Caenorhabditis elegans: one gene and its partner. The protein of the gene in region 2 interacts with the protein of the main gene of each other region in a pairwise test. Each region holds a gene or a part of one and is shown on either strand. Other genes may lie near its edges.

The links.
Region 1: the proteins of F36D4.5 (region 2) and klp-4 interact in a two-hybrid assay, tested with the Caenorhabditis elegans proteins (one large-scale study listed by BioGRID).

The regions. Positions count from the first base shown.
Region 1 is NC_003284.9:3,168,013-3,184,500, forward strand, and holds klp-4 (Kinesin motor domain-containing protein), read right to left. Parts: upstream 10,690-16,488; 5' UTR 10,651-10,689; coding exon 10,584-10,650; intron 10,525-10,583; coding exon 10,452-10,524; intron 10,396-10,451; coding exon 10,161-10,395; intron 10,085-10,160; coding exon 9,975-10,084; intron 9,922-9,974; coding exon 9,834-9,921; intron 9,781-9,833; coding exon 9,533-9,780; intron 9,253-9,532; coding exon 8,682-9,252; intron 8,634-8,681; coding exon 8,534-8,633; intron 8,481-8,533; coding exon 8,122-8,480; intron 8,049-8,121; coding exon 7,834-8,048; intron 7,777-7,833; coding exon 7,456-7,776; intron 7,406-7,455; coding exon 7,222-7,405; intron 7,172-7,221; coding exon 6,872-7,171; intron 6,824-6,871; coding exon 6,171-6,823; intron 6,122-6,170; coding exon 5,839-6,121; intron 5,791-5,838; coding exon 5,617-5,790; intron 5,573-5,616; coding exon 5,402-5,572; intron 5,360-5,401; coding exon 5,192-5,359; intron 5,119-5,191; coding exon 5,058-5,118; intron 4,575-5,057; and 11 more. Other genes in the region: C15C7.6 (Glycoprotein), read right to left, coding at 1-83, 135-284, 327-443, 1,137-1,292, 1,337-1,548, 1,597-1,709, 2,370-2,464.
Region 2 is NC_003283.11:9,414,849-9,431,022, reverse strand, and holds F36D4.5 (Desumoylating isopeptidase 1 homolog), read left to right. Parts: upstream 1-5,205; 5' UTR 5,206-5,306; coding exon 5,307-5,311; intron 5,312-6,252; exon of another isoform or gene 6,253-6,411; intron 6,412-7,899; exon of another isoform or gene 7,900-8,105; intron 8,106-9,520; coding exon 9,521-9,705; intron 9,706-9,768; coding exon 9,769-10,203; intron 10,204-10,252; coding exon 10,253-10,632; 3' UTR 10,633-10,636; intron 10,637-11,183; 3' UTR 11,184-11,766; downstream 11,767-16,174. Other genes in the region: F36D4.6 (Resolvase/invertase-type recombinase catalytic domain-containing protein), read left to right, coding at 3,848-3,964, 4,013-4,171; F36D4.1 (BLOC-1-related complex subunit 7), read right to left, coding at 11,767-11,934, 12,186-12,322, 13,058-13,185, 13,939-13,967. UniProt on the Caenorhabditis elegans protein: Protease which deconjugates SUMO from some substrate proteins. Has isopeptidase but not SUMO-processing activity. Collaborates with ubql-1 in the export of ubiquitinated proteins from the nucleus to the cytoplasm.

The DNA of each region.
Region 1 (16,488 bases), on a different chromosome or scaffold from region 2:
CCAATTGGGAGCAATAAAGAAACGTGCTGCGAGATGCCCATTTGATGAGTTGAATAATGTCCATGAATCATTGTTTGATAAGCCTGAGACGATTTTTTTTTTGAATTCCAATATTTTTAAAGCCAGTCACATACTTCTGCGACTGCTGCGACAACACTATAATCACCAACATATTCTCTAACAAAAACTTTAGTAGGAGCCATCACAACCTCGACCGGACAATTTTCGGGGCTGGTAACCGTGCAAGTAGTATTCCGAGATATTTGGCATTCGTAGTAATTTTTCTGAAACTTTGAATGACTACAGTTTGATGTTTTATCACAAACCAGAAAACGACAGGAATCCATTGAAAATAATTTGCCATCGTACAACACCGCGTGTGTAGAAATGTTTCGATATTTGAACACCGTCCCGAGTGATGAGAAATGACCAATTGAGGCGACCTTTAATATATTGATTGTCAGGGATTCCACTTGCAAGAAAATGTGACACTTGATACCCACAGATGTCTTATATTTCCTCAATCAGTCTTGCACCCGACTACCCATCTTGACAGCTCATATCTCAGTTAGCTTTTCAGATACCAATAAAACAAATACAATCAATATATTAAATAATTGTTAAAAATGGAGTAGCGGCAATGGGAAAATATTAAAACCGCTCCTATGGTTCCAAAGTGGCCATTTGACACAGTAAAGCCTTTCAATTAATTTTTGAAAAATTCTATTGACAGCCAAAAAGTGGTCATAACTCATTTTTAACTCAGTTTTTGCCACTTTTTTCTTCAACCAAAAATATTCCTTCGAATTTTGGGGTCTACTTAAGTTTCATATCCACATTTACAAAAAACTGTAGAGATTCGAACATGCGACAGTGCTCCTGAAAAAGTGGCAAAAACTCAGGAATTGCCAATTTTTGACTTTCAATAAAAAAGAATTCCAAAATTTTTTGAAAAAGTTTTACAACGATATTTGGCTATTTTTTCACCGGTTGTTAACAGTTTCCCCGCTGTGTCTGCTTTATCTTTAATATAAACTTTTAAAATTGAGAAACAAGATACTAAAAGAGGATAAACGATATGTTAATTCTAAACACCAAACGATTCTTCAATTTCAAAATTCAAAACATTCTCTTACTATTTTGTGCAACCCCATTCTTCTCGTTGGATTGAAATTTCCACAAACTATCATTTCAAGTCGATTTGCTTTGTCACATTGCAGAGTTCTTTTTGCCAATGCCGCCCACGCGTCCTCAATTTTTCCCAACGGATAATTGAAATAGCGAATAATTTCCTATAAACATTATATTTCTCAAAACAGTAATAACCAATTCTTACAGTTCCATTCCAGTTGATAAGATTTGCGATGTCGTCAAACGGCAGATTGATACTTGGCATTTCTAGAACTTCTTCGAGGTATAGCATCTTGTCTGAAAATTCCAACATATCGATATATTTTTGATCTTCTTTTTCCATGTTGCGGCTATTGTGCTGTTTCAGAAGCCAACTCAAAACTGGAAAGTATTCCGTGAACCTCTTTTGGCGCATGTCTGGAAAACAACAATTCAAAGATTCTGAGAACATTGTATGGCTATCACTTTGCTTCCTGCAAGTCATTTCAATCATATAGGTAATGTTGAAGTTGGGATCTGATCCTGGGATGATATCAATGCTGGTACACGATCTTTTGATGTTTTCGGTGAATTCCATTCTGCAGAATATGTGAGTTACAAATTGTTTCATGAGTTTAGAATTAGGATGCTTGGCCGCAACGTTACTATTTTTTTGTAGAAAAAACAGGCAAACTTGGATTTTTAATGCAGCGCCAGTAGGAAAATTAATTAAAATCATTTCTATGTTGCCAAAATGACCCCATGTCTGAGTTGAAACTTTCAAAAAACCTTTATAAATTTTTTATGATGTTCAAAAGTATAAATTACTACTCGGCAAAATCCCGCAACTTTTACGCCAACTTGAGCAATTTTAGCAATGACAATTGCAAAAGTTGCTAGAGTTGGGTAAAGTAGGTTAAAATTGTGGATGGTCACAAACATTTTTACTTCCTAACATTGGCTAAACTAAAAAAGTTGCTAAAGTTAAGTGTGATTTTGTTAAAGATGGTTTTAAAAAAAGTTGCGAGACACTAAAGTTGGTTCATAAATTGCTCAAGTTGGGTAATAAGATGCGGCAAACTGCCAAATAATTTTTTTAATTAAAGATTTACAAAAAGTGCCAAAAACTGAGTAACTACCAATTTTTGAAACAATTTTTTAAAATTTTTGTAAAAATTTTCAAAAAATGTATAAAAGTTCTACTATGATACTTGGGATCCTAGTACAAACTTCAATGAAAGTTCTTTTAAAAAACTCACGTTGCCGGTGTCAGACGATCTCGAAGAATAAGTAAGTCAGCAACGACTAATGATGCCAAAAAAGCCAGAAAAACAACAAGCTTCATCTTTGCCATCGGCTTGTTCCTGTAAAGCAAATGCAAAATGCGATTGTATTTTTGTAACAGTTGATGCACTCTAAATATATTTTTGTGTGGTCAAAAACGTATTGTGTAAAAAATTGATGCGAATGTTCTCAAACAGTGCTCCTTTGCTAAATGCCAACGGTTGGGGGCACGAAAGAAATGAAATTTGTTTACTGGAAATGTTATGTTTCTAAAGGTCATTTGGGCTGCGGTAGTTGATTTTTGAAAGGAAAATTTTTTAGAATAAAGAATAGAAAACAAATGGTTTTGAGATATGAAAAGGGTAAAGTTAAATCTAAAAATCGGCAGATAAAGAAAAAATCCGAAAATACGTGCTGCCTTGATTCCAAGTAACGGCCTTCAATATTTGAATATCCAAAAGTTGTTATAAAAAGATTGCTGATAAAGATAACAATAGCGCTCCAACGAAAACCCCGCGCGAAAATTTGAAACTGATTACCTCCTGATATTTGAATGGGCCCCTGCTCTCTCCTTCCATTTATCTGTTTACTTTCCCTCCTTTTCACCTTTTTTGTCACTTTCTCAAAAACACAGTGTTTTCGAAAATTGTTAAAACTTGTGTACTGTAGATCAGTAGAAATTGATGGGATGCACGAAAAATATTTGGAAACGAATTGATTAAAACGTAATAATTTTTTTCCATCCTCTGTAGTTGCTCTATACATGACGTTGTGCCGAATTTTTTTTTCAGCACAACGCCGTTTGCCAAACCTAGCAATAGTGTTCAGTTCACTCGACCTTGTAAAAAAGTCAATTTACGTGTTGTTCAAAATTTTCCAAATCACAAAAGACTGAAACGTAGAAGCTTAAAAAATTTCCCAGCATTACTTTCTGTTCTTCAATGTGTCTACTTTCAAAAATATGGGTTTATATCTATTAGGATGTAATTTGAATCTCAATTTGAAAATCAACAAAAGTATGAAAATTTCATTTATTCATTGTAGAACAAATTACAAAGTAGGATTGCGGTCTAACACCTGCAGTGAAGAAAAAACAAAGCACAAATGAGTAAAAACCACTGGAATGAAAAAGCAAAGAAAAAGTCACAGCCGGTAAAGCAGTTATACAATAATATTAAGAATATCTTGACTTCATTGCAGTCAAATGAATCGTGTTTATCATGTTGGTTTAGTCAGTTTCTTGTCCCGATTTTAAAGCAAAATATAAGTTGACATGTACTATTGAGGCATCGTATTTAGTTGATTTTGAGATCCACCAGGTCTCCTGAAATGGAATTATGTGTTTAGGACAAGTATCTAATGTAATATGTAATATGTCTTATATGTTACAGTATTAAAATAACCTTACCATTTTGCATTTTTTTTGACGCAAATTGGTTGTTGTTATCTAGTGGAAGGCAGAGGTTAACTCCCATGGACGTGCCATTTGTTGCAGTACGGGTAGGGCTGCTATTCTCATTTCCGTTTTTTACATCTTCCGTTGGTGACTGAAATTTCAAAAATACTACTGGCTAGAACACTATAATATTATCTCTATACCAATTTCTTAGCCGCTGAGAAGCACATTGTTTCTGGTACTGTGGAAGAACGGGTTGGGACAGTCTGCAACATTGGATGTTAATAGAATTTGTACATTTTGAAATGAATTACCTCAATTCTCAGAGAGTTAGACTCTTCCATAATCCCTGTCAGTTTATCGTTGTACGGGCTTATGATGCTCGTCACTGAAAATAAGATACCGTTTCACTATAAGTTGATTTCTTTGACACTACTGTAACACATATTAAATTAAACTTTTCCTAAAGCTTTGGAACATTCTCTCACGCAGACAAGGTTGAGACAAAGTTGACTCTAACAAGAATTGGACAATTGTTTCAAAAATTTGAATTTCAAGTATGTATGAAGACGGAACCTGGCAATATTTTTACTCCATGTTTTTAAAAATCTTACCATGCTGAAACATTCGAAAAAACGGAAAATAGGTTGCAATAACTGAACGTGCAAAAACATGCAAAAGGAAAGAACTAAAATAAAACAGCAGCTTATCTCTTGGGCACGGTACAAACAAAACCTACACTTTCCAATGCAAAGAGGTTTCAGATTAAGAGATGTAGGTCGCGCTGAAAAGTATGTTAGTGGTTGAAATGGAGGGGGAAGTGAAGTGAGAACAAGAAGCGGAGAGAATTGTGTGATTAGTTCTTAAATGATTGCGGAATAGTTTTTGGAATAATGCTTAGTTTCACATTTTCTCACTCTAGAAAGCAAGTTGTTGAAAAGAAACAGAATTTCGAGAAGCTCTGCATGCTTTTTAAAAACAATCCGCAGTGCAGAAAGTGCATTTTTCATCGAGATCGTTTGATTCCCAACTGCAATCAAAGGTGCAATTCATATCACTTTTTGGGGATAGATAGCGAAGAAAAATTAGAAGTGAGAAGCATTAGTTGTATGTATTTTTTTTCATGAAAACACATTTCTGGGTTAAATGATCTGTAAAGGTGAGTAGAAAGAACCAAGTTGAAGCGACGCGTTTCCGGGCGATTCAAAAACCAGCGGCGAGTCAATAATTCAAAAAAAAAAAGAAATCAATAAAAAAAAGAACATACCCATTGAATTGGAGGAGGATATACTCATTGGCGTGTCGGATCGTTTTTCTACTCCATTAATCTGAAAAAAAAAATGAAATTTTTTCAAGATGCTCTTAAATCAACTATAGCAATATTTAAAACTTCCAACTTACCTGTCCAGCATTAGAAATTGCATTTGGCAAACTGACTGCTCTGTTCATCCTCAAAGAATGCATTGGTAGTCCGAAATTTTGAATACGTTGCAGCCTTTCCTTCTTAGTAAGCATATTGGTAATAGCTACTTCTTGGCGAAGTCTATCCAGTTTCAACATTGACTCGACCTGAAATATTATATTTTTCGAAGAACCGTTGACTGGACATACCGCCTGAATACTTTTTGTGTAGGCTTCAATGTAATTAAGGGTCTGCTGCTGGTGTTGTGATTCCGTGGATGAAGTGGAGCTTCGAGATGAGCCACCGCCCTGCTCGTCGTGAGATGTATCCTTCGCAGCCATCATTGCCAGTGAAGACCGGTCTTCCATATCTTGCGAAGACTGGAAAAATATGTTTCAGAAAATTGTTTGGTTACATTTTTTACCTTCGGAATATGAGCAACTACATCATAGTATAAAGAAGTTCTATGAATAGTCTCGGTGCCCAGCATCTTCTTGAAAAACTTTTCTGTTAGGCTTGGTTTTTTGTAAATTTGTAAGCATATTCTCTTTCTCAGCACAATGTGCATTGGACATGGGTGTGATAGTCTCACCATAATCTGAAAATATTTTATTTTATTTTTGAATATTATTTTAGGTACTAATACCTTGACAATTGCGTACACACGATCATTGCTGTTAGTAGGAACATTGAGTGCCGGACAATCATGAACTGATGAATCCCAGGAACATGTTGCCACATGATCTTTGTCATCATACTTCTGAATTGGAACCATCAGCAAGTTGCCCTCTGGCTCAAGTGGAAGCATGGAGTGTAAGCCAGCAACACGCGGCACATTCTCATCACTTGTCATTTCACCGGTCATATCGTCGGAGTTTAAGTCTAAGAATAATACTGGGATATGTCGTTCCACTCCTTCAGGGGCAATCCTGCAAATTATCAAGATATATTCAGTTTAAGCTCAATCGCGTCACATACCAATCACATGGTGCTCCTGGTATACACGAATTTGGTGTTGGACATTCGACGGCTGTTCTTTCCTCAGTCAATGCTACCCATTGTCCCATTAGAGAATGCTCACGGTCCAGCTCAGCCTCGGATTTTCCTGATTTGGCAGAAAGAGAGTCAAGTTGATGTTGAAGATAATACTGTCGTGACTTTAATGCATGTGACCATTGTTTTCTAATCTTATCCAAGTCTTCTTCCTGGTAGCTGTCGATCGATTTCAAGTTGTTCGTTGATTTTACAGCCATAATCGCCCCAATGCTAACAGAAGTAATACAATCAATGCTGATAGGCAACCCATCAGGCGCAGCAACATTCACACCCACAACCAATCTTCTCTGCTGACCTTGCTTTAATTGGTATATACCGCCAGTCGATACGTCATCTGCATGTCGGACTTCCACACTCGTCCAATCTCCATTATCATTCAATTCTCGCACCTCTGACCACGTTTCTAAACGCCTGGTAACTTCCATCCATCGGTTTTGCAAAGACTTGGATTTTTCATCAGTGTCCAAAATTCGCTCTTCAGGATGTCCGCATATTCTGTGTCCCCATACTTCAATAGACAACGCATCATCTCTAACATACTCCATAAATTCTTCCGTGACCATCACATTGAAATCCTGCAATTTGCTTTAATGATCAATGGTTATTAGGTTATGCAAACTCACTCTTTGATGTTCGAAAATCACAGTAGTTGGACAAGATGAATGATTAGCAGCTTCGTTTGCTGGGGCAACCACAAGTAGTTCAGAAATGTTGAAAAATGAATATTGACAAAACACAAAGTTTGATAGTTTTTCCGGAAGACCAGATGCGCGCTTGATTCGTACCCGACAAGTGATCGTTTTGCCAAGAAGTGTCTCTGGTCCATTATTGGAAGTTTCATCCATCTCTTCCTGAGTTACCACGCGAAAAATTTGCACATGAAGACGCCCAGCAACTTCCCCTTGCTGCGAAATAATTGGGACCTGAAATAGAGAACATTAAAAAATCAACATCTTCCCGCGATTTGATTTACTTGATAATCGAGACGGAGATCATGGAACAACACTTCTAAAAACACATTTGCAACACCAACTAAATTATGGTGCTCTTGGCTTTCGAAGAATGGGTCAATGACTAGAGATGAGCACTCATTCATTGGAATTCCGGCTATCTTCATTGGTGATGCATGAGGTGTGCCGTTCAAAGACTCGCTGGTTCTTGAAAAAATGTAAATTGAATTCGTAACGATCAATGAATAAACTCGAACCTTGTGAATCCATTTAGCATATCATTATAAGTATCTCTCATGTCAACAAGACGGCTCTCAAGCTGAGAAACAGTCCAGAATTGACTTCCACTCATTCCTTCTCTACGAACGACTATCACTGGCTCACAAACAAATTGCCCAGCTTTGATTTTAATCGGTCTCAAGTTTGAAGCTGGAATTTGCAGTGTCACATCATATGTGGTTTGACGCTTTGGTTTTTTATTGAGCTCCTTGGAAATCATATTTGCTTCCCGTACAAGAGCATTTGCATGAATAACATCTGCTTTCAGCCTTTTCAATGACTCCGCGAACATTTCTTCTCTGGAATTATTCATATTTTTGAAAATTCAAAATTTTGACATTTATTTAAAAACTCACTTTCTCTGTGCCCAATAGAAGAATTTGCTTTTCACAGATTGTTTTGGGTTTGCTGGGAAAGGGAATGGGGGTAGTCCGGTAGGTGTAGTGATTGGAGTAGGCAGACAAAAACCAGGAGTCATTGGCGTAGATGGGGTAAACCCGCCGGCAGTCAATGACTGAATGTATTTCTCAAATGCTTCGTATTGTTGCTCAAGAGCTGCCTTTTTGTCTTCCTGAAAAAAAACCGATAAAAATTTAATTACGTAGGAATTAGATTTTTGCAACGAAAAAAGAAATCTCGCAAACCTGGTGCTTGAGTGTAACACTCTCCATGTATTGGTCAACGGCGGAACTGATGGGGTTCGCATCGTTAACCTCATGCCAAGCGTCATTGTAGTCGAACATGGTGCTGTCCTCCATAATGGATTGTTCCATGTCCATCACTTTCGGGCAGTTAACTTTGAAGAAGTGATTCATGCCCACAAGCAGCCGATTCCCATTTCTAAGAAGCGTCCTTTCAGTTATCTGCTTTCCATTAACACAGATTCTGCATTCCGAAGACATTGGGGCTACAAACAGGCGTAGACGCCCGCCATACTCTTCAACAGTCATTTTTGCGTGCCGTCTCATGATTCCTAGACCTCGGAGGACAATACTAGTTCGTTCTGAAAAGAGAAAAAAAATGGTAGATCAAAAAATTTGAAAAAAAATACAATACCTTTGTCATCATCTCTTCTCGAAGAATCACTGCATGTCATTGATAGTCCAGAGTCTCTACTTGTCTCTAGCTCCTCCGAGTTTCCAATAATTGCTGATCCCTAGAAAATATAATTTTATTGAAACAAAAAACGCAATGTTCAACTCACATTAATATAATAGACTAGCAACTCATTCAATGATGGATCGGCATTCATATTCACCAGATAAAACCTATCCTTCTCAACTTTAATTCCACTGGACTCTATAGAAATTCCGATTTCCGTCAGATCCTTCTGTCGTTCTTTATTCAACGTGTCAGTTTCTTTAAGACGTTCCTCCCAAGACTTGTTCATTTGAGCTACAAGACGTTCACTCTCTGCAAGCCTTTCACGAAGCTCTTCAGTTTCAGCGTGCTCTTTTTTAGTTTGTGTAATCTGCATTCGTAAAGTCTCCACTTCTTCGCGAAGTTCCCGAATAACTCTTGCATTCGGATCCTCGTTGATAATTGCGTGGTTGACAATCTTCTTCGCACGATCTGCATATCTCAGTGTGGAGAGGGTTTCTTCATAGTTATCGGCAGCTGGAGAAAGGGTCGCAATCATAACTGTCCTTGAATTTCCTCCAAGTGAGTCCTTGAGCAGCCAGGTTAAAACAGAGTCTCGATATGGGATGAACTTGTCTTTTTTGGAATTTCTTTCCGCTAAAGCAGAAATTACCATACCAAGTGTAGTTAGTGATCTGAAATCAAGCTTTTGATTAATAAATACATATACCTGTTAAATGTTAAGTTGAAAGTTGGTAGTGACTTCAAGTTTTTTCTTCAATTTGAAAAATCAATATGAAATTGAGATTATCAATAACATACTTTTTAACAAAAAACATCAGCTGAAAATTTAAAATCGATTTTTTTTTCAAGATCATTTCGGAGAAAAATAGAAACTAAATTCCTCCAATTTTTTACTTATTTTTTAAGCCACTTCGCAAGAAAATGTATATAAAATTCCATAGTTTCACCTACTTGTTAATGTTTCCACCTTCCTCGAGCCGTTTTCCAACTGCTCCCGTTTTCCCAGCTCTCTCACTTCCAGCCAAGTCAACCAACGAAATTTTGGCAACTTTCTCGCCACTAAACCCATTTTCCAAATCATGCAAAGTTTGTGTTACAATCAAACTAAAAACTGCATGTGATCTTGAGCTTTCGGCATTCATGTTAGTTGCAGCGACAGTTCTTGACTTGTTTCCCTCTTCTAGCAGGTTTGAAATTTGCTGGAAAAAATAAACAAGTGGATGAAAAAAAACTCTTTCAAGCATCGGCAAACCTCAAAAGAGTTGACTGCAAGAATCGACAATCCATCAACCATGGGTCCAAGTATTTTATGCTCACGCACTTTCAATGCTTTGCTTGATCTTCAAAGACGTTTGTTTTATGTTTTTGCTTTTGAGAGAAACGAATGGCTTACTTTTTTGGGTCAAGCAAGTCTCGAACTCTTTCGTTGTAAATTTCCATGTAAGACACCTCAACTTTGAACGACAGGGAAGAATTGCTAGTTTCTTGAATTCTCGTGAATATCTGAAAAAAAAACAGGTATGCTTTCAATTTCACTAGGAGTGCATTTTTGGAAAAAAAAACGAACAAAAAAACTCACATCATTACAAACACGAGGAATGATTCCCGGCTGATCAGGGGTTCCCATCATTGTGTAAGACTTTCCGGATCCAGTCTGTCCATAAGCGAAAATGCATGCATTGTACCCCGAAAATGCGTTCTCCACTACACCGGATCCAAGGTGATAGGACACTGTTTCTTGACTTGCGAAGTCATAACTATGCGGGTCAGTGGAGCAAAATGAGTGATCGAATGTGAAGGTTTTCGAGTTTTTCCTACAATAAAATAGATATCAGGTAATTTTTCTTTGCTTTCTCATTAATCTACTTACTCTTCAATTGGATGATGAAGCACACATTGTTCCTTTTGAATTCGAACCACAGACTTTGTTTTCAAGTCGAGTTCTGAAATATTTTGAAATTTTGATATCACAATGACCATTTTTAATAATAAATTATATTACCTCTTTTGTTAAACGGGCGTACACGAATAGCAACTTTGACAGCGCTTTCTTCATCTGGAGCTGTCATTTTCCAACCAAGTCTGAAGATTTCTTAGAACATCTGAAAAACACGCTCAATTGATAAAAAGCAGGTAATCGATAAAGTTATTGTCAATAACGAAGACGGAGTGAGGGAGAATAATCAAAAAATTTATGAGGCAATCAGTTTTGGAAAACTTTTCACTCGCAATGATACAAGGAAAGGTGAAAGGCGAACATAATCGGATGGGTAGGTAAACGAAAAGTAAACGAAAAACGTCAGTGAATTGAGAAAGTACTGGAAGCGGAGATTTTAATTGGAAGTTTCTCAAATTTTATAAACTTAAAAAAACCGAATTTAAGTAAGAAATCAAACTTGATTTTCAAAAGTTATTTTTTTCCCTGCTGGCAAAGTGAGACAGAGTGCAATTTCATTGGGTGCTTTGCTTTTGTGTGGTGTGAGAGCACATCAATGCCAAAAGAGCTTCTGTTGGAAAGGGATTAGTAGTTTCTGGGGGCCCCCAAAAACGGGGGGCACGAGGCGAATCTCTTGTACATGACATATGTATGTAGCGGACACTTTTCAAAAGACACTTTGTTCCCAACTATCTAATTCTTGTACAATAAACAAAAACGGGAAGTGAGAGGGGGAAAAAGTAGAAAGACGAAACTGAGAGTGAAGCTTAGAAGTTTGGCTCTTCACGTCAGTTTCAGGAGATGAGGTAACCGATGGATTTTCCTAATAAAACCATGAGATACATCTCGCGCAGCAGCCGAAAAATTGGAAATTTACAACCCAAATTGGATAGGTGACCTTGCGCAAACACTGATCAAAAACTTTTTATGAGTCCCAAAAGCTTGTTGGAATTGCAGGAACATGACGTAATGGACAATGAGCCGGTGAAAAATGATATTCGGAACGTGCTCCATCTGTCTGACTCTAACCTTTGTCGTCCTGGTGGTAGCCGTCTATCTCTGGCGCCGTTCTCTATCCCCATATCCTTCTCCCCCACACATTCCTAGTCAAAAAAGGGCACGATACGAAACCATTCAGAATGATACATTGGCGTGTGCACCCCGCGCCAGTGAACCCGGCCGAGCATTAACATTCTCATTTGCAATTGATGAACATCTACTATGCTGATGCGCGCGTCTCCCGTTTTTCCGCGCTTCTTTCTGAACTCGGCTCAACTCATTCCACCATAAAAAGAAACGAAAGAACAAGAGCAAAAGATGAGCTGGAACCGGAAGCTGCAATGTGAACCCTTCGTTTTTTTTTGGCTGTAAAAAATTCGTTTTATTTCGTCATCAAAATCTAGATGCTTGATTTTTAAACTTCACTCACTAAAAAATTTCAAAAATTGCTCAGCCGGAGAATGGGAAGCAACACTTGAGAAAACGGGAAAACAATCCTATCAAAAAAGTGCACTACTTAAACAAATTGAGCTGATCTTTTTTGAGCTCGGGTTTTGAGGACAAACGATTTGACAGCTCAAAAAAATTGACGCAAAAGAAAAAGAGCGAGAGAGAGGTATCTAGATTCGGAAATCCTTTAATCAACACGATGTGCGTTTTTGTTAATCAAGAATTTTGTAGCCGTGCGTCATCTTATTGGAATTCGCGAGATGTCACAAATCATCTGATCCACAAAGAGAAGGATCCCTTGGTAAATAGACGTGTGAAAGAACTGCCAAATCGGGATGTATAATGTTTACACGATTGTGTTTATTAGAAAAGTAATTCTTTGAAACATGCAATAAGAAATGTTAATCTAAACGTTCCAAAAATAGCTACCGGGTTTCATTAAAACTTTAATATTAATTAAAAACAGTGTAGGGAAAATGGGGATTTTGTCAAAATCTATTCAACATTTTGAAATGGTAAAAAGTCTAAATACAGAATTGCCATATTTCCTCTATTAGTCTTGCAAAACTAATTTTCAATTGGTTCGTAGGAGTGCAAGTCTAAAAAAAGCAGCAAGACTATTTTTTGAATGCTATTTTTTAAATTTTAGACTTTGAACTTTGGGCCAAACATTTTTTATAGAAATCATAGCTGGATATTGTTTAAACAATGAAAATACACACTTTTACACTTTTTCATAAATTGTTTGAACGCTATGAAGTATAATTTACTCTAAAAATGACAACTTTGCTAAAGTTACCGCAAAGTGTTGCTGTTAGTGCAAGACTATTAGAAGTTGGAAGACTAATTTTCGATTAGCTTGTAGGGGTGTAAGATTAGTAAAGGTTGCTAAACTAATGAAGGAAATACTGTAAAGTTTAAAGATTTTCCAAATGTTCAGTTCAACACAAATTTAGATTTTTCAAAAAATATCAGCTTAAGTTTTGGTAAATTACTAAGTTTTCCAAAACAAGTAAACTTTTTGACTAATTTCGGGCACTGCTGCAAGTTTGAACCCTTATAACCTTTATATACAAGCAATGAAAAGCCGTCAGTTGACGTATAAAAAATATCGTCAAATTCCAAAATATGAGGCGAAAATAGAAATTTATATCTTTTTGACTTTAAGTTTCACTGGGATATTTGGTCATTTTAGTTTTCTGAAATAATTCAAATATTTTATTTATTGGAGCTTAAATTGAAACGGTATTCTTTGTCTAAAATAAATAATATTTAACACAAGTAGGAAACATTTTAAAACATATGCATTTCCCGAAATAATTAGCATAGTGGGACGAAACAGAACGCCGTATGGCCAGATGATGTCACATTAAGGAGCAAAAAGGGAGCGCCGTCAGCTGGATAGGACATTGTTAGATGCGAATCATCCTATCGGTACTTTTACGTCTTATTCAAAAGTATTCAAAGGGACTAGACATATACACGACACACACACACGCAAAAAAAGCGCCGCCTTTTCTGCTCACCAAATGAAATAAAGAAGAGAAAGAGGAAAGAAGAAAAAGGAAGAAGAGAGGCTCCCTTCAGCTCGGGTCCCTCTTTGGCTGGATCATTGCCTACGGATATGTTTCAATAGTGGATTAGCGGGGCGGCATGGTCCGCGGATGCTCTACGAACCCAAATGTGTTGTAGACTTGGGTGGGGGGCCACCAAGTGTGGAAAAAGATGAAAGAAGAAGGAGAAGAGGACGATAACAATTAGCTGGTATGCCGCTGTTTGTGCATTTTTTTTTCTGTCATTCCTTTTTTCTTAAGGTTTGCTCGCCAATTCTGGAAGAATACCAGCTGATACTGGCTCGAGAGAAAAAAAACGAAAAAAAGAAAGAAAAGAAGAAAGAAAAAACATGATTGGAATATGAAAAAATCCTTTTTTCAATTTGCATTTATTACATGGGGCCGTCTGAAAGAAGATTTACTGGTTTTTGAAGGGTCGCCCTTTTTCAACATCACTCTTTGCAAGAAAAAATGAAAAAGGCAACAAGGTGTAGAACAAAGAAAACACAACTGATAATGTACGTATTACTGGCCAAAAATCTAATCAAAAAATTTATCGATAAGAGAACGGGGGTGGGAGCAAAGGTAAACTTTTGAGTCGGAGCATTATATAGAGAAACAGAAAAACGTTGATTTTTGAATTTATTGGCTAGGAATAATTTATAGGAAATTTATAATTTATGAGAATCAAAGTATCTTGCCTTGTCTAGGATTACTATTTTTACTCGTTATATGTTTTATTCTTAGTGGAAAAAAAGGTTAAAATAACTGTTTAAAAAATATATAATTTTTGTATTTACTTAGAAAAACTGAGTACACACTCAAAAACAAAAATTTATTTGATGCATGATTTTAGACATTAAAATATTTAAAAACTGATAAATTAGATATACATACCTCTAAAAATTAAGTTAAATTAACTAAATACATTTTTTTAACAATAGGGGCAATTTTCCATCGAAAAATAAATTAACTACCCTGTAAAACAATTGGTCGAAAAAAAAAGTTTACTCTGAATTTATAATCGTTATGTTTGATAGTAGTAATGCGGGCCGCGAAAAATGAACAAAAGTTGTTGAGGAAAACACCTCGGTTTTTGTGTAATAAACTTTTCAATGAAGAAATAACCAATATCAAGGGAAAAAAGATATTAATCTGTAACGTTTGCGTGACGTATTGCGATTGGAATCTATTTAGTTTTTAGTTGAAATAAAGTGACTTGGACTGATGGCAATTTTTTTGAATGTGAATTATTGTACTAATATAGCCCAAAACCCATGTAAAACAATAAAATATTATGACCTATAAAACAATTTAATTCGAGTGAAGTGGTTTAACATCAAACTTAATTGGAAAGCATTCAAACTTTGCGGCAGGAACCCTCCTCACCTCGCCGCGCTATCACGATAATTATCTTGATGAATTGGAAACAAGTGATTTTACACTGAAGCTTTCGAGCTCAAAACAAAAGAGCTCGCCGGATGAACCAGAAGGCAGAAATACAATTTTTCTAGCCTCTACTGAATCTCAAAATACAAGTGGGGGGAACAGAACAGACAATAGAGCCGACTGATAAGAATAGATAAATATTGAGCAAGTAACTGTCAAATAAAGGGGTGAGATAACCAGGAGATGATCAGTGAACAGAAAACAGAAAGCACAGAAAACACAGAAAACCACAGGCTACAACGCGTTGATCCGGATTTCATTTTCACACGTATTACATTATATCTTAGTTCATCGTGGAATTTTACGTTAAAAAAGAGAAGCAAAACAAGTTTTGTTCCAGCTAGCCTCTTCTTTTTTTGGAACTGGCAATCAAATTGTATTCTCGCCACACGAAAACTGGCTAATGGCACCCGTGGGTTGATAAAGTGTAAAAGAATGGGGCAGGAAGTGCCCCGCGGAGCATGCCTTTCTCCTCCTCATTCCCCCCTCTCTCCGCTGCTGTTCGGTGGCGAAAAAAGTGATCCGCAAACACATATCATAACAAGATATTGAAACCTTTTGCTTCTCGTTTCGTTTAAAGCAAAGACACAAAAAAAAAACGTCGAATGATCGGGTTCATAAGTGCCTTGAGGCACTTATGAAACTTTTAGTGAGATGGCATATATTCAATATTCCGGTTATACATCATCTTTTCACTTCTTTTATTGACAGATAAGTCAGGAAAACACGAGAAAAAAGTTTTCTGCAGTTATATAAATGTTCATAAAAAAACGTTTTCAATGTTAGAAAATGTCAAAAAATGTGTATATTCAAAAATTCATAAACTTTGGGTACTTACATAATTACATTATTGCTCAATGTTAAAGGTAGAGTCTGGTTAGTTGTAGAATTGTTTAAAATTGCTCCTAATGAGCCGAAATGTTTAAAAATTATAGTAAAACTTTCAAACTGAAAATTCTTACCCCACCCATTTCCCACACTCGAGATGAACTCTTACTGGGTTTGTCTCGTTTTATAAATTTATTTTCTCATTAAACCTTAAATTGTACTACCTTTTAATGTATTACCTTTTGGCTCTTAATGTTGAACATAAATCAAATCAAATCAAAATGCTTTTTATACAGTCGAAAGGTAGTCATAGTTGTGGAAGTCGGCCAAAATAATTGTTTCACGAGTTCTTCAAATATTTGGTATTTTTCTCTAATGTACCTACCCCAAAAATATTTTTCAACAAATTTTTCATTCATTTCTTATAAGATTGATAGTTTAATTAAACCTGAATTTTTTAAAAGCATTCTTGGGCTTAGAAAAACATTAAGCTTAAGCCTGATATGGACAAAAATGGTTACGTGTAGTTTTCAAAATCGGTAATATTTTTGACGCAGGTATACTACAAAAATTATTACTTTTAAGTTCATAAGCTGGGAAGACCAACTGAAAATTTGGAAAAATTTCATAAATTTTGAACGAAAATCTACCTTGTAATTCCCAGACTACTTGAAGACATGAAATTCGAACTA
Region 2 (16,174 bases):
CCTACAGTACCTTTGTTCGTATTTTATTATTAAATGAAAACGACCATTTATAGGCAAAATAGGTAAATTTATGAAACTTTGAAAATTCCCAAATCACTTCAAATCAACTTTTTTTGAAATTTTTTTCAGAAACTTTGTTGCAAATTCCAAGCTTTTTCAGAATTTACCAACAACATCCCAATAGGTGCCAGAAGCTTTGAGCAGTTACAGAAAACCTACAGTACCTTTGTTCGTATTTTATTATTAAATGAAAACGACCATTTATAGGCAAAATAGGTAAATTTATGAAAATTTGAAAATTCCCAAATCACTTCAAAGCAACTTTTTTTGAAATTTCTTTCAGAAACTTTGTTGCAAATTCCAAGCTTTTTCAGAATTTACCAACAACATCCCAATAGGTGCCAGAAGCTTTGAGCAGTTACAGAAAACCTACAGTACCTTTGTGCGTATTTTATTATTAAATGAAAACGACCATTTATAGGCAAAATAGGTAAATTTATGAAACTTTGAAAATTCCCAAATCACTTCAAATCAACTTTTTTCGAAAATTCTTTCAGAAACTTTGTTGCAAATTCCAAGTTTTTTCAGAATTTACCAACAACATCCCAATAGGTGCCAGAAGCTTTGAGCAGTTACAGAAAACCTACAGGACCTTTGTGCGTATTTTATTATTAAATGAAAACGACCATTTATAGGCAAAATAGGTAAATTTATGAAACTTTGAAAATTCGAAATTCACTTCAAACCAACTTTTTTTGAAATTTCTTTCAGAAACTTTGTTGCAAATTCCAAGCTTTTTCAGAATTTACCAACAACATCCCAATAGGTGCCAGAAGCTTTGAGCAGTTACAGAAAACCTACAGTACCTTTGTGCGTATTTTATTATTAAATGAAAACGACCATTTATAGGCAAAATAGGTAAATTTATGAAACTTTGAAAATTCGAAATTCACTTCAAACCAACTTTTTTTGAAATTTCTTTCAGAAACTTTGTTGCAAATTCCAAGCTTTTTCAGAATTTACCAACAACATCCCAATAGGTGCCAGAAGCTTTGAGCAGTTACAGAAAACCTACAGTACCTTTGTGCGTATTTTATTATTAAATGAAAACGACCATTTATAGGCAAAATAGGTAAATTTATGAAACTTTGAAAATTCCCAAATCACTTCAAATCAACTTTTTTTGAAATTTTTTTCAGAAACTTTGTTGCAAATTCCAAGCTTTTTCAGAATTTACCAACAACATCCCAATAGGTGCCAGAAGCTTTGAGCAGTTACAGAAAACCTACAGTACCTTTGTTCGTATTTTATTATTAAATGAAAACGACCATTTATAGGCAAAATAGGTAAATTTATGAAACTTTGAAAATTCGAAATTCACTTCAAACCAACTTTTTTTGAAATTTCTTTCAGAAACTTTGTTGCAAATTCCAAGCTTTTTCAGAATTTACCAACAACATCCCAATAGGTGCCAGAAGCTTTGAGCAGTTACAGAAAACCTACAGTACCTTTGTGCGTATTTTATTATTAAATGAAAACGACCATTTATAGGCAAAATAGGTAAATGTATGAAACTTTGAAAATTCCCAAATCACTTCAAATCAACTTTTTTCGAAAATTCTTTCAGAAACTTTGTTGCAAATTCCAAGCTTTTTCAGAATTTACCAACAACATCCCAATAGGTGCCAGAAGCTTTGAGCAGTTACAGAAAACCTACAGGACCTTTGTGCGTATTTTATTATTAAATGAAAACGACCATTTATAGGCAAAATAGGTAAATTTATGAAACTTTGAAAATTCCCAAATCACTTCAAACCAACTTTTTTTGAAATTTCTTTCAGAAACTTTGTTGCAAATTCCAAGCTTTTTCAGAATTTACCAACAACATCCCAATAGGTGCCAGAAGCTTTGAGCAGTTACAGAAAACCTACAGGACCTTTGTGCGTATTTTATTATTAAATGAAAACGACCATTTATAGGCAAAATAGGTAAATTTATGAAACTTTGAAAATTCGAAATTCACTTCAAACCAACTTTTTTTGAAATTTCTTTCAGAAACTTTGTTGCAAATTCCAAGCTTTTTCAGAATTTACCAACAACATCCCAATAGGTGCCAGAAGCTTTGAGCAGTTACAGAAAACCTACAGTACCTTTGTGCGTATTTTATTATTAAATGAAAACGACCATTTATAGGCAAAATAGGTAAATTTATGAAACTTTGAAAATTCGAAATTCACTTCAAACCAACTTTTTTTGAAATTTCTTTCAGAAACTTTGTTGCAAATTCCAAGCTTTTTCAGAATTTACCAACAACATCCCAATAGGTGCCAGAAGCTTTGAGCAGTTACAGAAAACCTACAGTACCTTTGTGCGTATTTTATTATTAAATGAAAACGACCATTTATAGGCAAAATAGGTAAATTTATGAAACTTTGAAAATTCCCAAATCACTTCAAATCAACTTTTTTCGAAAATTCTTTCAGAAACTTTGTTGCAAATTCCAAGTTTTTTCAGAATTTACCAACAACATCCCAATAGGTGCCAGAAGCTTTGAGCAGTTACATGCGAAAAAGCTAATTATTATGCGTTTGCTACTGTGTGTTTTAGGTTTTTTTTCTTCATAGAAGTGATCTTACAATGATGATTATACTTACAGTGTCACCGGCCTTGTGGATATCCGAAACCATTTCGACGGTTTCTATCCCGGTTCCTGTACGAACTTGCGTGTACACTATCATCGCAGCAGACGAATCCTCCGGGAGTCCAGTCCCAAACGAATGGCGTAGAACGTGCTCCCAGTCGACATTCGACACCATCTCATCGTTCAGGCACTCCCAAACGTCTCCAGTAGGTGAATCTGTAATTTAAGAATCTTTAAAAAATCCAGGAATGTTCACTTACTGCTTCTATAAGTGAAGTAATGGCCTTGATCATTTTCTCCTTTGTGTACGATGCAAGCACTCATCCGGAATTTGGGGCCCTCCTGAAGGGGTGTGAAGTGGTTACCCATTACGAGGACTCTAGGGAACGTAAATCGAGCGTGGGTCTTTCTCAGGGTGACGTCATCCATTCGATCTACATGCACGAGAAGACATTTCGGCAGATTATCACTCGTTGCCCATATGGAACCGATAGATTGCATTGCAGATTCCGGATCTTTCGAAATGGTATTCACACGGATGATCTTTGGTAGTTCAAATCCGGTGGTGGAAGTTGATGCGAATATTTTCTTGAAGCATTGGATCAAATGATCAGTTCCATCAAGATAATGGTGCCCACCGACCAGCCCCATACCATCACGGATCCATGTAATGAGCAGAGGCATCATTTCATTGACATCTTGTTGTCGCTGGATAACAGATTTTGAATCGCTCGATTTTCGCAATGATTTTTTTGGAAAAAAAATAGGAAATAATTTTTTTCGGTCGATAATTTGACGTTTCATTTTAAAAAAACGTGGAATTAGTTACACGTGTTTTTGAACGTTCATCAATGTGTAATGTCAACGTGTAATTTTGTATCCAATATAAAATTTCCCACGTTTTCATATTTAAAAAAAAGTCAATTTAATTTTTTTTTAATATTTAAAATGTTAAAATTATTTAAAAAATATTTAAAATGATTTACTCGTATAGCTCTAATCAAACTTTTAATTTCAGACTCATCGCCTTTTTCCCGCCTCCTTCACCCCTTCTCATCACCTCCACTTCGCCCACATCAGGACTCAACGACCCGGCAAACTGTTTTTATCTGTAAGTTTGCCTCTTGTATTTGTTCCGCAGAAAAAATCATATCCCGTGGTCTTAAAAGTTCAATTTCAGACTCTTCGCCTCCTGTCAATTCGTCTATGGCTACTGACAATGTGAGGCTGGAAAGGATGGAAATTGGGATGCAGTTACTGTTGCTCAGGATGGCTGAAAAGGACGGAGAAGCCGAGAAATTGGCTAGAGCTGAGCTTATCACAGTACTGAAGTTTTACTAATAAAATTAAAAATTCGTTTTCCAATTTCAGGAAGCAAACCTCGGCGGCCAGGGCGAGACTACTCAGCTGAATCCACTGGTTCCAGTCTCCAAAGCAACTGCTGAAAAACTTTCGAACGAGCTGGATGAGGTTGGCAGGAATCGAACAGCAAGGTGGTCAAAGTCTGGGAGAACCTGTGTAGTTTCCTGAAGCTCCAGAGGCTCAAGATGCTCTAAAGGAAGCCGAGAAAGCTGTGCAGAAAGAGGGAAATGTAAAAATAAATGATTTTCCCAATTTTATTTGAGTAATTGTTAAAATTTCCGCGGTTTTGATTTGTCAAAAAAAACAAGCCTTTTACATAATTGTTTTAATTTAATTCAACTATTTGTAAATTTTCCTTTCTAAAATCCTCCAAACATCGTGTTTCTTAAAAAGAAAAACTCACCATTTCTCTGGGTTCCTGTTAGGCCTGTTGAATGGGTCGAGATGGGTCGACCCGTGACCCATTTTCGGAAAATGTCTGAAATTTAAAAAAAAACATGTTTGTTTTGTTGTAAAGCGTGTTTTAACGTTGTCTCTTATGCTTGTTTGTATCGAAAATAGGGTATGTTTTTTTAATTGATGAAAATACGATAATTTTATAATTTTCAGCTTTTACACGTGTTTTTTGACAAAAAAATAATTTTTCAAGATTTTGATAATTTTCTGTTAAATTTGGAAAAAAATGGGACATGACCCCGACCCAAATAGTGGGTTGGGGTCGCGTCCCCGACCCAATAGTGGGTCAGGGATGCGACCCCGACCCCGACCCGGCCGACCCAAAAAAAATGGGGCGACCCACTCCATAGGCCTAGTTCCTGTTATCTCCTTCTGTTCCCATAAATCTATATAATCAGTACAAGAAAAGTCTTACCGCTTTCCATAAATCTGTATAATGACAATGAGCTTCCAAATGGTTATTCTTCTTCTTCAGTTGTTCTTCGCTTCTATGAGTATAATCATATGAGTAAATATTCTCCACTGACCGCGACTCGTTTTTCTTTTTTTCCTTTCTCGCATCCATTTGTCATTTAAATTTTAGAAACGCCAGCTATATTTAGATGGCGAATTTCAAAATCTTAAATTTTTTGTTATAATTTGTTATTTTTTCTTCTTCTGTCAAAGATTTCATCACAATCAATCAAAGACACTATATTAACAAGACACCAATTCTCCAAATACATTTTGCGCGTCAAATGTGGTGTTTACGTACAATGTGCAAATTGTCGTGAACATTTCTCGCTCCGAAACAGAAAATTCAGGAAATTGTTCATTTCCGTCTTCAATTTTTTGCCGTCGCTCACTTATGCTGTAAGCTTTTATTTTTTTTTTCTCATTTTGTACTTTCCATGTTCAAATAAGTGTCCAGTAATCATGCGTTTCTTTCTTATCCTGCATTTGCCTTTAAGAGTGGAAATATTCGAATCTTTAGCGCTAAGAGAAGATAAAATAAAGTGCTAAATTAAGCACTTTCTTTTATCTTCTCTTATCTATTTAAGAATCAATTCAATATTTCTAACTTTTGATTATGTTCTTTTTATAATTTAATTGAATTCAATCATAATACTAGAAAAAAATGTCTCCATCGTTGAATTATTCGGATTATCCAATTCCCGCCGAGAAATTAAAAAATGAGAAAAATAGTGTGAAGTGGACCATTTTTATTGCGAAATGCGATTTCTTCCAGAACTAAGTATAGGCATTTTGCTTCCCAGAAAGGAAACAATGGAGGCGTATTGAGAAAGGGTCGTTTAATTGAATCAGAAAAAAAGACGAGTGGCAAAGAGAAGTCTTCATTTATTTCTATTTCTCTTTTTTGTTGAATTTTTTCGACCTCCTCAAGTTCAATCCACTCGTGCTGAATCATATGATGTCCTGTCCATTTTGACTCGATATTTGTCTTTTCAAAATATTCTCACTTCAACAGAACACTTAAATGTTTACAATATCAAAATTTCTTCTAACGTTCGGCAACTTTCTGTCTCGTTGTCATTTTGCGAGTAAATCGGCGGCATGTTCGTTCCACTTTCTTTTTCATCTCTCTTCTCTATTCCTCTTTTCCCTGCTCCGTTCTTCTCATTTTCCTGGAGTAATTTGAGCTGAATTGAGGAAGGCTGTGGTCCTCTCCATTCGCAATTCTTTTCGTAACTATTACACTATACTCGTATTCTATCTCCATAAAAATCAGGCGTATTGAAATTAAAACTTCCTACAAAGTAATCGACCGTTTACGCCTGTGTATAGTTTAACAACAATCGATTCAAATCTGAGAGTGTACAGTTATAGGAGACGCGCGTGTAGCGACGAGTGCTCGTCTGCTTCTCTGCGCTTCTCCAATCATTGCTTTCTCTCTTCACGCGTTTCCGGTGGAACAGGCGAGGTACGGGCAAAAAGCGCGGTGAGGCAGCAGCAAGGTTGAGTTCAAACAGGCGGTGAGAGCATTCCTGAACCTTTCTTCCTGTCTGTCGTTCAAGTGTTTAGACTTTGGATTTTAAAATTCGAATCGTCGATTTCATTGGGTTATTCTATCGATACTCTATTTACTTGTTTGTTTACCAATAGATCATTATCATCCACATTTTCTCACCACTATACAGTTGTTTCCCTTTTTGCACCCATTTAACAAATATTTTTTGTTTTTATTTGTATAAAACGGCTGTAATGAATGCCGTTCCAAAAAATTAACTATCATATCTTTTTCTAATGATTTATTGAATTATCTTTTTCTTCAGATGATGTGAATTGAGTTTCATAAATCGTTTCCAACAATTTCTTCTAACCCTTTCTAAATTTATACGTATACCCCTGAGATTTGAAGAACATGAAGAGATAAGTGAAAAAAAGATTTCCCATCCATGCTCGTACAACTTTCTTGCTTCCACCCCGAAAAAGTTAGGCAAAAAGTTAACGTAGCGTGTAGAAAAGCTTTGAAAATGAGTGATGGTCCTCTGGCTCAGTTTTCATTGCCGAAAATATACAAATTCTAGTGTAGAGTGCTCTCTTCTCGAGTGACTGACGAGTGTGTTGGTTCTTGGCTGCAGCCATCTTTCTTCCCATACTGATTCATGCATATGATTGTTCTTCTCTCAACTAGTACAAGTAGTCGTCATTTTATTCTCTGCAGCATTTTCTTATTCTCATTCAGAGTCATCTTTCTTCCCTACACCTGTCGTCTTTCATCTTTCTTGCTGTCCTTGAAAAGCTCTCATAGTTAACGAACCAGTCCTTTCGATGTCGGCAGTAAGCAGTAATCCTCTGGTACAGTTGATCGTCTTCTTCAATTCTTCTCTCATCTGCCTACAGGATGGCATAAACAAAATTAGCTATCTCACCCTGTTGGCAGATGTCGTCTCAGATATAATCCGCCTTTGCCTTTCCTCTTCTGGCACTCACTTTTCGTCTTTTTTGTATACTCTCAAACTTCCAAATTGAACGTTTCCCTTCTTTTTACATTCAATGACTAACATTTCAGTTTTAGTTTTTATGACTCATGTGATAGCGCAATGGGAAAACTATATGAGAAATAATATTACGAAATTATTCGAAAAATTTAACGTCTGATTTCATTCTAAACAGTTCTTTTTTTTCAATCTCTCAAAAATCATCTCTCTCACCTGATTTTTTTTCAAATTATTTAGTAGATCGGGTACTTGTGTATTATACCCCCGTCATTTTAAAAACGAATTTTTAATTTATAAAATATAACGTGTGGACTTTTAGGCTTAGGAAAACACCATTCCTAAGCCTAACGAGGAAAATGGGTATCACGTTTAATTTAAATTAATGGAAATTTGTTTAATTTTTAAAATGGCGGGGGTATAATACACAAGTACAGTAGATCGTTGTTTCCCCAGCTTTTTGCCCCACGCACAATGTGATTGCTTTCCAGTTTCGTGCTCTTTTCGTAACCCTGGCTCCCATCCGCATTGTGCAATTCGTCCTCTTGCAGAAGCAGCCTCAGTTAGCGGCTGCCATCCTCTTTTCTTTCCGATTCGCCCTGTACATGGAGAAAACGTGAAGCGTTAGTCAATATTTGCGCCTTTTCCGTGAGAGTTAGACACTCTTCGACCTTGAGAGAATTTAGAGAAACAGAGATACCAGCGAGGGCAAGCTCGGAAATCTTTCTACCGCGCGGACGTGTTTGCCACCCGGCGCAAAGCGACGTGAGACTGGAATTTTTGAGGAGAGGATCACACGGAATCGAAAGAATGCAAACTTTGCGAAAGAAAAGAGAAAGATGAGTAGTAGTGTTCATGAGGGTGTGCCGAGAAGTAGAGAAAGTTTTGTGTGCATTCAACATGACATTTGTAGAAAGCAATGGAATTAAAGGAAAGGGCGGAGCCAATTGCCCTTTGGGTGTCAAGGAGGTTAGATCACGACCTGGAAAAGCTTTTTCGGCATAGAAACATGCGTAGAATCACTTGTTAGTTGAAACACGGAATTTCTTCTTTCCATTTTCAGAGAATTTGGCAACATTTTTGTGTCTTTTTATCGAACATTACTGTGAAATATCATGAAATACTTCTTTGGTTTTTAAAAAAGTTAATTCTTAAATGAGAAATCAGGTGTTACCAGTGTAAAGTGTCGTCGATCTTTAGACTGACGGACTGTCATCTATTTGAAATTGAGACAAAGGCAGCGAAAAAGCCATGAGAATCGAATGTCTCTGCCCACCTGGTTTCCCAAAATTCATGACCTCAATTTGAATTTTTTCTGTTTTGTTTTCGCCATCCGCCAGAATTCCATTCTCCGGAATTTTTTCCACAACTTGAACAGACTCTTTTTCGAGTCTATTGTGGTTTGTCAAACATTTTCAATGAATGTGTGACGACTATATGAGTACCTCTCTTGTCATTTTTACTTCCGAAACGACCCATCATTGTATAATAATTGTTGTTCTTCCCCTCTAGTCGATAGAAAATTTGTTGGTCGTGTTGAACCGAAGATTCATTTTTTTTGTTGAAGTTACTTTTTATTGTTCACTTTATTGTTATTTTACAAAGAAAAGTGTTCAAATAGAGAATATTTCGAAATTAAAATTATTGCGAAGAGAAATTGTGTAGTAAGATAGATGGATGGGGTGCCGACAACAAATTATTCATAGTAGCAAAAAATAATATTTTTTCTTTTATTTTTGCTTGTCCATAGAGCACTCTTCGTCCCCCCTTTCTCTTTCCGCTCGTCCTTATTTCATTCATATTTTTTTGAAAAACCAGTATTCTGAGCTTTAAAATAGTTTTATCAGTGACGTTCTTAGTTGTTTATTATCCAAAACATTCATAAGATCACAATTTTTGCTCTATGATTGCAATTTCTCAAAAAGTCCATTACATTTAACGAATGTTTTTCTCTAGACTTACGAATTATTTACATCTTCTCTTCTTGTTCCCCATAGTCAATTTTTAGATAATCCTCTCAATGACGTCCCAATGGCTTAAACAAGATCGTATCCCCTTTCGCTATTTCTGTTTTTGATCTCTACTTTCGTCTCAAATCTTCTACTAAACCATTCATTTTCAGTACTGACTTGTTCTACTCGACATTTGGCTGCTTGTACTCGCCCACTAGCACAATGGATGTGATGGGAACAGCCAGAAGAAAAACTGTGGTTAGACTTAATGTCTATGATATGTATTGGCTGAATGATTACGCATCGAACATTGGCGTTGGCATTTTTCACTCTGGAATCGAAGTTTTCGGTGTCGGTAAGTGAAGTTTTTTTTTAACTTTATACCTAAAAAACAGCTAAAATAAATAATTTTTTTCAGAATACGCATATGGTGGACATCCTTATCAGTTCTCAGGAGTCTTCGAAAACTCACCACAAGATGCGGAAGAACTTGGCGAAACGTTTAAATTCAAAGAATCGATTGTTGTTGGAGAAACTGAGAGATCTACCAGTGACATTCGGAAGCTTATAAAGTCCCTTGGCGAGGATTTTCGCGGAGATCGTTATCATCTAATTTCCCGTAATTGCAATCACTTCAGTGCAGTACTCGCTCGTGAGCTTACTGGCAAGGATATTCCGGGTTGGATCAATCGATTGGCAAACTTGAGTGGAAGCATTCCATTCCTTGAAAAGTGCATCCCACAAGAATGGCTTACGCCAATCGTGTTGCAGGCCTCTGTCGATGAGAAGAAGAGAGGATCAGTAGATTCAGCAGAAGAAGCAACTGAGAAACTAGTGGTTCGATCGCTGAATGGTGAGTCGAAGCAATAATGTTCGAGAGAAATGTGCAATCAATCCTTCAGACTCCCGCACTACAATTCTTGATAATCGAACCGCAAATGGAGCCATAATAATGTCAGCTTCTTCATCAAATTCTGATCGTATCTGCATGTCCCCATCATCTTCTTCTTCTGCTTCATCCTGTGATACTCTTGACTATGACGATCTTATTGTTCAAACACCGTCTACGTTTTCAAGTGAAAAGAAATCTCGTAGCAACTCACCGCCAATTTTCCGCATCTGGAATACTATCAAAGCAACAATAAACGGAACTCAACAGACAGCTCCTACCGGAGCCGCAACTGTGATTCCAGCCTCTTCGGCCTCAAATATTGGAAAAACGAACAGTACGCCTGGCACAACAAGCAATGGTCTTGCAAAACCAACATGTTCTGAATGTTAGAGATGTAAGTTTGTGCTTTTTTTACCAGGGCTGTTGCAAAAAATATTTTCGACCAAAAAAACAAAAAAAAATGTTGTTTCAAACTTGGACAAAACACAAAAAAAATCAAAATTCTCCAAAAAAAGTTCGATTGTTTCATCATGCCAACCGAGGGTTTTTTTGAAAATTTGGTCATTATTCTTCTTTTTAGAACAAAGTTGTTGTGTTTTTGCTCATCATTATAAACAAAGTTAGATTAAAAAACAAATATTTTATGGTTAATTTTCTGAATATTTTTTTTCGATTTTCCAGAGAATGAAAAATCAAAAATTTTCGTAGTTCCACTTTCAATCTTTTGATTTTTTTTTGATTTTCACTGAAAAACATCGAAAATTGATAAATGGCACACCTCTGACTAAAAATAATTTTTTTAAAAACAATTTGTTTTGTTTTTCAGTCCGAAAAAACCAAAAAGAACCAAATAATCAATTTTTGCCAAAAAAACGACAACCCTGTTTCTTACTTGTTAAAGATGAACTATTTGGAAATATTACAGGTTTTATTTATTTCAGATTCCTCGCCGAGAATTCGTTTTTTTCAGTGATTGATAGCTGAAGCCGTCATTCTCGTCGTTTCCTATAATTCCTGATAAATCTTCCTACCCTCCCCTTATTGCCTTTAAGTTTCATTCGAGGTATCTAAAATGTATAAATTTATTTGATTTTCTCTTCACCACTTCCCAGCCAACTCAAATGGTTTTCTTGTGTAACATCGGATAGTTTTTTGGCGTTTTCTTGCCTTTTCTCTAAACGGCTTCATTGAAACATTATATGACTATGTTATAAGTTTTCCCCCCGAATTGTGTGTATTTATGAACCTACCACTTCGTTTCTTTTTCCTTCCTGATCCGCTCATCAGTCCTCATCACCTCTTTGCCTTAAGTTTCCCCAAAATGCATTTTCAGTCAATTCATCTTTCATCGACCCTCATTATATACACAAGTGTCTTCCCTATTTATGAATCTAATTTCGAACTTTTATCAAATGTGATATTTTCTTTTTTATTTGGGAAGTGTACTTCCCAATTATTTCAGAATTTAATCATAAATTCAAAAAAGCGCAACTGCATTCATTCAATCGATAAAGGGACAGAAATTTACTCTTGTTTCTCAAGAACAGGATCATTAAGCATATCCGTACTGTGGAAGTCAGCCGATTTTTCCATTCTGTCCAGCATATTCTCACAAACAACGACAAGTGTTTTGTATTCTTCAATCAGTGTCATGATCTCTTTTTTCGTTTTTTCACTTGATAGATGGGAAACCTGAAAATTAAAGTATAAAGAAAAATATAGTTTCCCATGACAATATCATGTTGCGGCGGTTATAAAAACCTGGAAAACAGCACTATTGCTACTACTCTACGCGCCTACAGTAACCCAATTTGGTCTTTGATTTCAATTTTGAAAACAATCCGCTCTGCAATCTTCTAATGTTTTCATAGAAATAGTAATTATCATTGTTCCTCTTTTAAATACTCCAACGATTTCTTTAAGGGCAATATTAGAATATGAACCTTTTTTAACGTATCAATCACCGGGACCAATTGCATATGAAGATTGGTAACATTATCACGGAGCTCTGCGGATCCAAACAATTTCCCGATCCCGTTCATCCATTCAGCCAATTTCAACTTATCGACAACAAGTGTGACTGAAATTTTTATAATATTTAGGTTCATTGTGTATTTTATTTGAAAATTGAAACAATAATGTATATCTTCTACTTCTCAAATTTGAAAAAAAAACATGGACTCATAGAAAAATGATAAAATTCAAAATACAGTAGATTCAAAATACTGTATGATTTTAGCAAGAATTATTCTCAAACACGGTAACAAATTTCCGTTTAAATGAAAAATTTAATCATACTGAAAGGTCCTAAATCTGAAGTACAAAATCTAAATACTGAAACATAATGTCTATGAATCTGAAAGTAAAAACTCTAATCCGACGACTGATGCGGGAAGCCAAGGACCTAGGTTGGAGAGTTACATAAATAATCCCTAGTGCCTCAGCATAAATACAAAAAGCCAAGTGAAAATTTCGAGGCTTCTGGAGATTCTATATTTGACACCTTTTTGTTACAATTAAAAGCCAAAAATGTGTACGTTCAAGATTTCAAACTCTCGACCCAGCTGGCTCTTGTGGTAGTTAACAAAAAATAATAAATTAAAAACAATTTTCCATAGTGTGTTCTATGTTCTTACTCATTTTTTTCATCAAAGCAGGGCGTGGCATTTGTTTCTTTTGCATTAAAAACCAACAACTACACATTCAGAAATTGTAAAATAAATAAGTTGCTCTAAAAATTTGGAACTTTTTTTCTATTCTTGACGCTTGAAAAAAACTAAATCCCATTAGATCCTTCATTCTCAATTAAACTCACCACCAATGTACTCAAACGTTCTCTTTTTCTGACCAAATGGTCCAACTGGTGGCAGAATCACACTTTGGACTGAAGAAAACGAGTCATTTGATGTACCGAATGAGGAATGAGCTGATGAATTAGACATTCTGTAAGCATTTTATGTGAAAAATAGAAATAATGATATTTTTGTTCTTTTATAGGGAAACCTCGCAATATTTCATTCTCAGTGTTTTAGTATATATTTATCTTGCAAGCTTTTTTATCTCCGTATGTTTACGTTCCAAGTCACATGGTTTTAAATGGCTTTACTTAGATTATTTTTTAAAATTCCACCCGAAATTTTCAACTGAATTTAATGAAGTTTCAGTATAATTCAAATTCGAGAGTTACCTGATGGAAGGGAACAAATATATTAATGTAACTATCTTCTTTCTTTTTTTTTCGTCTCTCCATTTCAATAATTCCGTGAATATACTTCCGGCTAATCAAGTGAGAATAAAGATTCAGTTGTTTGAAAACAAGATTAAAAGTATAGAAAGGGAAGAAACAGAACCAAAATATTGCGCTGCTTTGAAGCTCTCAAAATATCTTTTCACTTTACAATTACTCGAGCTCCTAGTGTCTTTAATTTTTCAAATGAACGAGCTAGTTATCAAAGAGTGTAAACTTCAACCACGGCAAACAAAATGCATCAATTTTTACTCGAATTTACCAAAATGGCTTTTATAATTATAATTATACAATTATAAACAATTAGCAAATTCTCAAGGAGTACACACTGACTCGTAAATCTTCAATGGTCGCGGTCGAGGTTCATTCAATTGCACAACACGGATAGCTCGTGTATTTTTGAAAACTTGAGACGCTGGAAACCTTTTTCAAAGTTGACATTAACTTACCGAGAAGAAGATTTTCTAATCGTACACATGAAACGACGACGATGCTTGCAAAAATTATTGAAATGAGGGTTTTATTAAGATAATTTGCAAATGCATTGAGGAAATTTTCACGTTACTTTTTTTGATGTTATTTCATCAGAAAGAGTTCTTTGAATTTGTAAGTGGAGGTGTATATATTGAAAAAGCAAAGAATGAAAGAGAAAGAAAGCCAATTCTTTTTGGATTCATGTACATTTTTATTTGGAAAATAGAGAGTCAGAGGTCCCTTCACTTCAACGGACATTCTTATTGCATATTTCCGTTGAAAAAAAAACGGAGAAGAATAAGGAAATTTGTGAAGGAGAAGATACTTCAAAATATTATTTTTGCTTGAAATTTTGCACTACGAGGTTTACTTTTTTGTTGGAAACCAAAACGACCTACTCTCTCTTATATTTGTTATTAATTTTTCTCTTGTCACAAAAATTATGTTTCTAAAGAATTTGATGTTTCTGTTTAATTTGATATTTATTCAAATTAGTCTTATTTTTTTATTAAAATAATTACAGCGTTTTCTAAATTAACATTGGCCCTATTACTTGGATTAAGAAACTAACCTAGTAAATAAAATTTTAAAAGATGAGGTTCATCATTTTTTTTATTGGTTAAGGAACGGTAGTTATTATCCATTTCGCAGAATTATCACTCGATAAGTTTCAGCGGTTTCAGATTCCTAGAAACTAGTTTTAAAAGCAAAAGTTGTATTTTTTAATTTGTTATGCCTTTAAGATTTTGAGAATCCTGCACAAATGATCCTGACAATCTTATCAAGAAAATAAAAAAAATAAACATGTTCCTCGTTATAAGAGTTCATTCGTTTTTTTTTTCTCATATTGTTCATACTTTGAAAATTGCTCGGTTTAGGATAAAAAACCGAAATTTGGCAGGAATAAATTTTGATTTTTTTTCAATAAACTTTTCTGAGCGTTGTTAATTTTCCAGTTTGAGAGAGGAGGATAAGAAGCTTTGAATAATAATTAATAATTTAGATAACTGTACAGTAATATCTAGACTCAAAATAAGGATTGTAATTCTGTACTTTAGTTTCCTAGCTCATTTCAGCGGAAAAATTGAGCACGTTGTGCCACCTTCCTCATTTTCCTATATATCTTTATTCTGTTTCCTGAATCAAAAATCAGTGCTCTTCTATTGCTCTACACACTCTCTTCATGTGCTTCCTATTCTCTTCTTAAAATCAACCCGTTAATCTATGCAAATGACCTATTCGATTCTTGTCCAATTATCCTCCCGCTGTCCTTGTTTTATTCTTTCTTTTTATTCCTTTCAGCTCAATTTTTAGTGAAAATTGTAATTCTTGAACTAGTTATTCTCTTCTCATTCCAAATTTTCAAATGAATCTCAGTTCGTGTCTCTAGGCGTGTTTTGTGCAAAAAAGGATGCGAAAGAGTGGATGCACTCATTTTCTTCTAATCGCATTTTGAGCGTCGGAAACGAAATGAAACTCAACTAAAATGATGGTCATTATGAGAAATGGAACTACGATTTCTTAAGTGTATATTCCTTTTTTGAAAGCTTGTGGAGTTAGCCCATAAAGCGCAAGATGCTACTCGCTTACAATTAGTTACTCAAATTATATTTGAGGCTCATTTTGGTCTAGTCTACCATTTTGGTCTAGTCTTCTTAAGATTTTCGCTTGTCCAAATTTATAATCTTAATCATTTTCGAACAGCCAAATTTTCGAATCTCTGAAAATTTAAAAATTCGGTAATCGTCGAAAATGCCAAATATCAAAACTTTAAATTATCGATGATTGAACGGTTGTGGAACAACTCGGAAGATGGTCTTTGGAATAGTTGCTCACAAAAAATAGCAAAAAACTTTAAGTATCAGTATTGACATAAAAAACAATTTATTTCTATGAAAAAATGAACATTTCAATTTTTAAAACAAAAAAAACATTACAACAAACTTTGATAATTTGATGAGAATGTATTTTTTTTATTACCGCCCTCATGTCTCAATTTTGACAGCTTTTTGTTGGTTTCGACTTTTCTTATGTCAATTGCCACATCACTCATATCCTCTTTTTTCTTGAAAATAGGAACACCCAAGATACACTCAAATGAGATCGAAGTGTTTTTTAAACTAAATTCAGACACTATAACAGTACATTATAAGTTTTCAAAAACTATAGTCTGTTCAAGTTTTATTCAAGGATCTAAACATTCGAAAAACT